2 linked regions of the Neurospora crassa OR74A genome follow. Each later gene encodes a partner of the first gene's protein in a complex. Links are inferred from orthologs where the notes say so. Each region holds a gene or a part of one and is shown on either strand. Other genes may lie near its edges.

What was found. Proteins that work in one complex are often made in the same cells at the same time.
Region 2: un-17 (region 1) and NCU07885 share a complex: the UniProt entries of both Saccharomyces cerevisiae proteins name them as parts of the cleavage and polyadenylation factor (CPF) complex. The link is inferred for Neurospora crassa OR74A from reciprocal best matches to the Saccharomyces cerevisiae genes PAP1 and SWD2.

Annotation. Positions count from the first base shown.
Region 1 is NC_026503.1:4,131,404-4,135,152, forward strand, and holds the start of un-17 (Poly(A) polymerase), read right to left. Parts: upstream 2,459-3,749; 5' UTR 1,899-2,458; coding exon 999-1,898; intron 950-998; coding exon 1-949. Other genes in the region: NCU08984 (hypothetical protein), read left to right, coding at 3,281-3,322, 3,384-3,541, 3,633-3,749. UniProt on the Saccharomyces cerevisiae protein: Polymerase component of the cleavage and polyadenylation factor (CPF) complex, which plays a key role in polyadenylation-dependent pre-mRNA 3'-end formation and cooperates with cleavage factors including the CFIA complex and NAB4/CFIB.
Region 2 is NC_026503.1:1,232,335-1,236,083, reverse strand, and holds NCU07885 (WD repeat containing protein 82), read right to left. Parts: upstream 2,244-3,749; 5' UTR 2,117-2,243; coding exon 1,747-2,116; intron 1,684-1,746; coding exon 920-1,683; 3' UTR 274-919; downstream 1-273. Other genes in the region: NCU07884 (mitochondrial oxaloacetate transporter), read left to right, coding at 3,392-3,408, 3,526-3,749. UniProt on the Saccharomyces cerevisiae protein: The COMPASS (Set1C) complex specifically mono-, di- and trimethylates histone H3 to form H3K4me1/2/3, which subsequently plays a role in telomere length maintenance and transcription elongation regulation. Involved in mediating RNA polymerase II termination.

The sequences.
Region 1 (3,749 bases):
TGGCCATCGGGCCGTTCGCATGTTCCCCTTCGGCCATACGCTTCTTCTTCTTGACTGGCCTAACAGGCTTCGTCTCTCCAGGCTCGAAAACGTCGTCGGGGAGATCGAAATTCCTAACGTGCTGGATAGTCAATCCCATCAACTCTGCTTTGAAGATGTCGTTCGAGGTGCACATTGCCTTGAAGTCGTCGACTTCTCTGGACAGATCCAGAGACTTAGCTCCCTCTACCAGCTGCAGGCCGATGTAATGGTTAGTGGTGTAAATCTCAAGCTCCGGCTCCTTCTCCGGTATATCCTCCAGCTTAACCTTGTCTTCGTCGTAGTCGTTGGCCTCAGGCTTTACAGAGTTGTCCTCAGGCTTTAGAGGTACCGTTCCTAGATGTACCACGTCGTTCGGTTCTTCCTTGACAGCCGGCACAGTCGGCTCCCGTGCAACACCATCCTCCGTCTTGATCTCCGCCTTGACCTCAACCTTGCTGTCGTTCTTGGCGCTCCCATTCGCGGCTATATCCGTCGGCTTGACCATGTATGTGAGATTTCCGGTTTGAATCTCTTCGACCTGAGCATCCGTCTTGCATCGGTGCACTCTGTCGTAACCTTTGTTGAAGGGGCGGGCAAGGGCGATGGAAGGGTGCAGCTCAAGCTTCTGGACCAGAACACGCACTCTTGACTCGACGAAGCCCGACCAGGTATTCTGCGCCTCTTTGGTCCTGCCGGATGAGATGACCGTCAGGTAAAACTTGAAGCCGTTGGTGAAAAAGGTGTGTTTCTCGAACAAATCTTTCCAAGGCCTTTTACCCAACATGATCTCTTCGGAAATCTGCACCCCCCGTTCCAGCTCCTGTTGAATGACCGCCATTGAAGACCTTCCAACATTGTGTGTCGCGCACATGGAAGGGTATGATGGGGTGATGATGGGCATCTTGTGATTGCGATCACTCGGGTATATCTAGTCTGTGGTGAGACATCAGCGCGACAATGATGAGGGGTTGACTTACCTTGGGATTCCACACCGCTACACGCGTAATGGACTGGTTGTATTCGATATTCTTCAGAAGAACCGGGAGCGGCCATGGCCAGTTGAGCATAATAGTGAAGAATTTCCTGACGATGACAGCACTCGTCGCCTTCGGATAGAGTTGGCATACTCTGGCGACCAGCATAGCCCAAGCCACACCACCAGGATAACCCATGATATTGGCGTAGATAGCCCTTCTCTGAGCCCAGAGCTTGATTGCACGAAGTGCCAGCTTGAACGTCTTCTCTTCGGGAACCAGCGCAAGGATCTCGTCGGTTACGCGTGTTCCGTTGAGCGAGCGCACCTCGTTTTCGGACAAGCCGCGCAGGAGGTTGTTACTGTTCAAATTCCAGTCCTTGTCGTCAGGAAGTTGACGAAGGCTCTGGATTGAACAGAAGATAAGATCTATGCTGATGCCCGAATACTCGAACTTGATGATAGGAACGAAGGCCTCGGGTACTGGAGTCAGGTCGGTGATGGCGCCAGGGGGAGCCATTTCGACAAGAAGGTTGGGAAAGATGTCGAAGTATTGCTTGACGGTGACGTACTTGGGTACAACGACGAGGGTATCGATATCGGATCCTGGCCCATACACACCCAAGCGAAAACTGCCATATGTGAATATTCTGCCTCGAGCGTCGCGAATCAAAATGGCATTGTGCGGCTCCTTTTCCTGCGCGGCCCTCTTCACGAATTCATCAGTAATGCGCTGGAGATCTGCGAGCACCGCCCATCGCTTATCAGTTTCGGCCTGACTTTCGAAGGTGCCCTGCGCGCGCAGCTCTTTGAGAAGGGCCTCGGTCTGTCGTTTCTCGGCGTCGGTAGGTAGCGTGGTCGAGATAGGAGGCGTTACGCCCAAGGTTTGTTCGGGGTTCGACATGGTGGCACGAAGCGCGGTGGGACGAGGAAGCGTGCTGGATGCGCCGCTAAGAGTATCGAAGACGAAATATGTCGTGCAGGACTGATCGATGACGCTGGTCGCGACAAGAGGAAAACTGGATCGCGCGCGCAAAAGAGAGGAGCGCAGGCGCAGTGAGAGAACGCTGACGGGCGAAAATAGAAGTCTATGATGGGATTGAACAGAAGGAACCAAGCAGCTCCACGTAAGGCAAAGAACGCTCAGGTCATGATATGCTGTGCTTTTTGTTGATTCGAAAGATGGTGATACCGGATAGCTGATTGATTCTGATATCGACCCTGGGGCAGTCGGAGAAGCCGAAACCAGACAGGGTGATCGATGGGGATGGATGAAGGGGCTGCGTTAGGTAGGTTGTCGCAGAAGACAAAAAGCACGTCGCCGACTCGGCGCGTCTCGGTTCAGCCTGGGTGTTGAGCACGGACTCCCACTCACCACAAGTCTGGCAGCATGATTGGCGCGAAGCAATGTCCTGTTATTTCAGAGACGCTGGACACTGCAACTTGAAATGCAACCTGCAGGAATCACCCGTAAACCTCTGACGAGTATCCTGGGACCCGCACGGGGATACCTAATCTCCACTGAAATTCAAGTACTTTGGTACCCCCACCATAATAAGACGGGTATCATGTTGGCTTAGGTTTTGGTGTCTTGGTTCCGACAATTCAGGGAGTCAAGCTCTGAAAAGCTCAATCGTCACATTGCAAAGGCCGCTGGACTGCCGCATTTCAGGTAGAAGAAGGTCTTCCCCAGACAACCCGACCTGTTCCTTCAAGTACCTAGGTAGGTAGGCGTAGGATGTCCGTCTGTCCACTTCTGGGCATCTTACAGTACATTCGAGTAACGCCATGGGGACAGGTGAGTTGGCAGAATCAGTTCCATTTTTGCAGTAAACATCGGTCTAATATTCAGGGACGTATTCTATTATATCGGCTGTAAGTACCAATTCAACTTTGGTCTAATGCTAGGTACGTACCATCGGAGTGAAGGTCAAATGACGATAGAGTAGAAGTATGGATTTGGAGAACAGATGACATTTCAAAGCTGCCGCGGCCCCTGTGGAAGATGGGATCTGGCCCCAAGCGGCAAGCAAGGGCAAGACCGGACCAGGTGTCCATGCATCATCCACTGGAGTTCCCCTGGGAGGTCCCTTCCATAGCGCGGCCCCGCCCCCACACTGGCCCTGCAGGCCCCTGCACATGACGCTGCCGCTAGATGGAGGATCACCGTAACAGCCGGGGCAACGTTGAAAGTTTACATGGGTGTCGCATCTGGATTCTCTCGGCCTCCCCTACACTACATCCATTTTGCACCACTTCCACTTTGCTTAGTCTCAATGGGGAAGGATGAAAAAGACATTACTTCTCTGCTTCATCCACGGCTTCAAGGTATGTACAATGAGATTAAGCGACGCGCCAGCCAAGATCAAACTGACATTGTCATGCAAAGGGAGGTGAGTCGACCTTTGGCGACAACTATGCCTTCACCGAGCACCTCCGCCAACTTGTCGCGGCCGACCTACCCAAGATAAACGTCAACGTCGTGGTATATCCCAAATATGAGACTCGAGGGGACTTGGGCGAGTGCGTAGCGCGATTTCGAGATTGGTATGTGCTCATCGACCGCATCCGTTCCTTCATCTGTCACATGCTTGAAGCCCCGAACCATCCCTAACATGGGTCGCCCTCGCTATCACAGGCTCATGAATAAAGTCATCGACCTCGAAGTTGCCGCCGGAACCTCATCGCCCACCATAGATCCCTCGGTCCGCGTCGTTCTAGTCGGCCACTCCATGGGCGGCATCGTCGCCGCCGA
Region 2 (3,749 bases), about 2.9 Mb from region 1:
TAAGGATGATGTGGGTTCACCTTGTCGCTTCCCCGGGAAGTTTTGGTGCCACGGTTTCGGTGAGCTCTCTGCTTGCACGCTGAAACGGGTGTTGCATTGGTGGGGTTCACCGCGGTCCCATCCAGCTCAAATGCGGGGCATACCTCTAATGACAGGGGGCAACAGGGGATGTGTTTACTTTAAGCTCCCGTCGTCCAAGGCCTGACATATGGGATTCAGGGTGGTATTGAACTCAACCTTCATCAAGACTACCTGATGGTCAGATTCTTTATGGACAGTAAACAATATTGAGCTTCCTCTATTTGCTAATGCCTATCATCCCCTCAGTGAAAATCAACTTGATCAACCATTACATGCTGTTCATCTTGACCATTCCTTTCCATCTCCTCCTACGAGCCTGGTTAAATCAGCCTTCCAGACCACTTGCCTCGCGACCTGAACCCTTTGAAGCATGCTAACTACTCCCATACGCCGGCGAATAATGCAAAATGGGTATCTCATGTACAGTGCATCAAAATCTTCTTTTGTTCCCGGCGTCTCTCATGTTCTCTTACCACGACGCTCTTCTGCTCTGCCCTGATGTAGCAACAGGATACCATCCAAGACCTTCGTACATCGCGGCATGGGTCCTGTGCAGTTTGAGCCACAACCCCCTTCCTCGTGCGTGCGGCTTTTGGGGAACTCTCCAAGTATCCCGGCGCCACAATGGGGACAACGCCCCCACAACCACGAAGCGATCGGTGTCCAGAAATAATGAAAAGTTATTTTAGAACTCTTGATCATCGACTTCGGCCCAGATAAACGTCGCCAATTCATATTTCTCAAGCGGACGTTTGCGCTGAACCGGCAAAGCCCGGTCCCACATATTCCGTGGGGTTGACCATGGAGGTGAGGTCCAACAGTTTCCGATAGACTCCGTTTATAAATCGGAGACCGGCAGCCAAAACATAAGCTCCTTATCCGCAGTGGCAATCATGTTGAATCTTGGGTTGTACTGCACAAGGACTGGTTCCTTCTTTCCTTCCTGGGGAAGGAAATTCGGTTCCAGAACCTTGTTATTGGGAGTTTGCAATGTGTCCCAAACCAACAGGTCCTTGGCCGCGCCCGACACGACATATCGTCCATCTGGCGTAAAGCAACAGTCTCCACTGCTCTCTAGCGCACCGCTTCCACCATCAGCCTCGCCAGGGGCTGGCCGTCTGGTGCCGCCTTGGGGCTTTCGCAAGTACGCCTTCAGGTTCCCGTCAATGGCGTCAAAGAGGAAGTGTCCTCCGGTCCGTGTTCCTAGAAGAATATGCTTCCCGTCGTTGGAGAACTCGAGTTTCGTCCAGCCTCTGAAGACGGCATCCGCATCAGCTGGCCCCTTCTCTTTCAAAACGTCGATGATCTTGAACGGTTTCACGTAGTTGCGGTAATCGTAAAGGAGAATGCTGGCGCTGGCTGGTAGGGCGATGGCAAAAACGAGACCAGCAGGGTCCCAGGCCGCTAAAGTGGGATTGGTGAGATGGAATTTGGCAACCCAGTTCCTGCTGTTGAGGTCCCAGAGCCTGACTGTGGTGTCAAGACTGCATGAAAGAAAGTTATCGGAGCCGGGATGGAGAGCAATGTTGGTAACGGAGGCCTCGTGGCCTTCGAAATATCGGATAAACGTATTGTCGTGGGTTGCCAGATAGCGGATTGCGTCTGTGGCGATCCAGGTCAGCGAAGAGCAGTCATTGAAGGGAGAAAGGGCGTCCAGTGACATACCGTTTTGCTTCGTGCTCGCATAGATGATGCCCGAGCTGGAATGTGTAAACTTCGCATGCTTGACGCCGTACTTTTTGCTCAGCAAGCTCTTGTCATGCCGACCTTCCCTAACGTTATATATCTGGATGGTCTCGTCGCTTTCAGACGTCATGCAAAGCTCGCCAGGGTCGTCAAAGTCGATCGATAGAACGTATGGCTGGGGCCTACCCTCCTTCACGTCGTCTCTCTGGAAGAACTTTGTCGGCCTAAAATTCTTGATCACCTCACTGATCTTGGAGGTACTGGGCCCATTAGGCCCAAGTAACCGAGTAACGTTCAGGGAGGGTGTTCCCGCGCCGGGTTCGTCGATGTCCATCGGTGTCGATGACATTGCGGTCGATTGATCGTATTGAAACCGGCTAGAACCAGAGAAGATGGCGGGGCAAATATATTGGGTCAAATTGTATAGTATCGGATTGATGGTAGTTATTTGATGTTTGGTTCAAAACTTAGTAGCATCCGTCAACCGCGTTGGTGTTTCTGCCGGGCGGAGAGACAGAGCTTCAGTAATGCGACGTCAAGGTACATACAATGGCTTGGCAGTGGCCCAAGACCCTAACCCTTGTTTCGATCCATGGTCACTGCATGGACAACGACACCAGTTGGGTAAGTAGGTATCGATGTCAGTGACAGCTGGACAAACTCCATCAACGCTGGGATACGTTGGTGATTTGGCCGCAAACCGAGCAGTCAATTGACAACGGTGCTAGTGTATGTTCACGAAGCTAAAATGGCAATCGTTACACACTACGGTAGGATGCTCAATTGAGGTCCCAGTATGACTGTCTTCCAAGCTTTCGGTACCTTCGTCTTTTTCGAAATTGTCATCAAGCTCCGATTCGGACACTTGTTGCCGTCCATCGCGCCTAGGCCCTAACCCTCCCTCGCAGCAACGACAGCGTTCCCCGGCCCAGACATTTCCGGTTCTGATTCAGGGTCCACGTCTGGGCCGCCCGACCCGCCACGCCCCCTTGTCATACCGCAGAAACTCCACATTAATCTGTTGTCCGCGCGCCGAAACCGCAGCACTTACAACTCCTTCGCCTCGTCGCCATTGGGCACCACCCCCATCCACGGCATCGGAGGAGGATCTTGACACCAACTTCCGTGCCTGACCCAAAGCGGGAGTTGGTCCCAGTCGATCACTTCGACCCCCTTGTCTGCCCGGCGACTGACCGGCGAGGCCACCTTGAAGCTCCAATAAATTTCCCGGACAGCTCTCGGTGGTCTTCTCTTTCCTTCCTGTTCCTGGAGAAAGAAGCAGTCGTCGTCGTTCGTTGTGACTTCGTTCAGTTGTACACCTGTACATACACCGATCTGATCTTTCCCCAGATCATCCCCTCATTGCCGTCGTTACTCTCCGTGATACGGTGACATCCACTCCCGCCTTCCCCGGCCTACTCCCGAATTAGTTCCCGTGTTCCCCCCTCTCTCTCTCCGAACACCGGCAAGACTCGGCATTGCGCCTTTCTTTGACTTTGCGCGCCAACTCCGTCGCAATCAACCCAAAGACTCTGGGGACTCGACTTGAGTTCTCCCTGATATTTTCCCCTCCCTCACCCTTCTTCCCCATACATTCTCCCAAAACAGATACCCTAACGTCACTATGTCAACAACAGCAGGGTAAGCTCTCCCTTTCCCCTCCTCACAATGCGCCCAGTGCGCGCGCGCAACCCAACCCAACCCAAACCCCCCCCTCCCGGTCCCAAGCCCAGACTAACATCCCTCCCTCCCTCACAGCGCCTTTATAGCCGGCGGCATCGCAGCCTGCGGCGCCGTAACCGCCACGCACCCCTTCGAGACCGTCAAGATCCGCATGCAGCTCCAAGGCGAGCTCCAATCCTCTACCTCCTCCCCTCACTTCTACCGGGGTCCGATCCACGGTGTCTCCGTGATCGTGCGCAACGAAGGACTGGGCGGCATCTACCGCGGTATCGGGTGCGCGTACATTTACCAGATCCTCC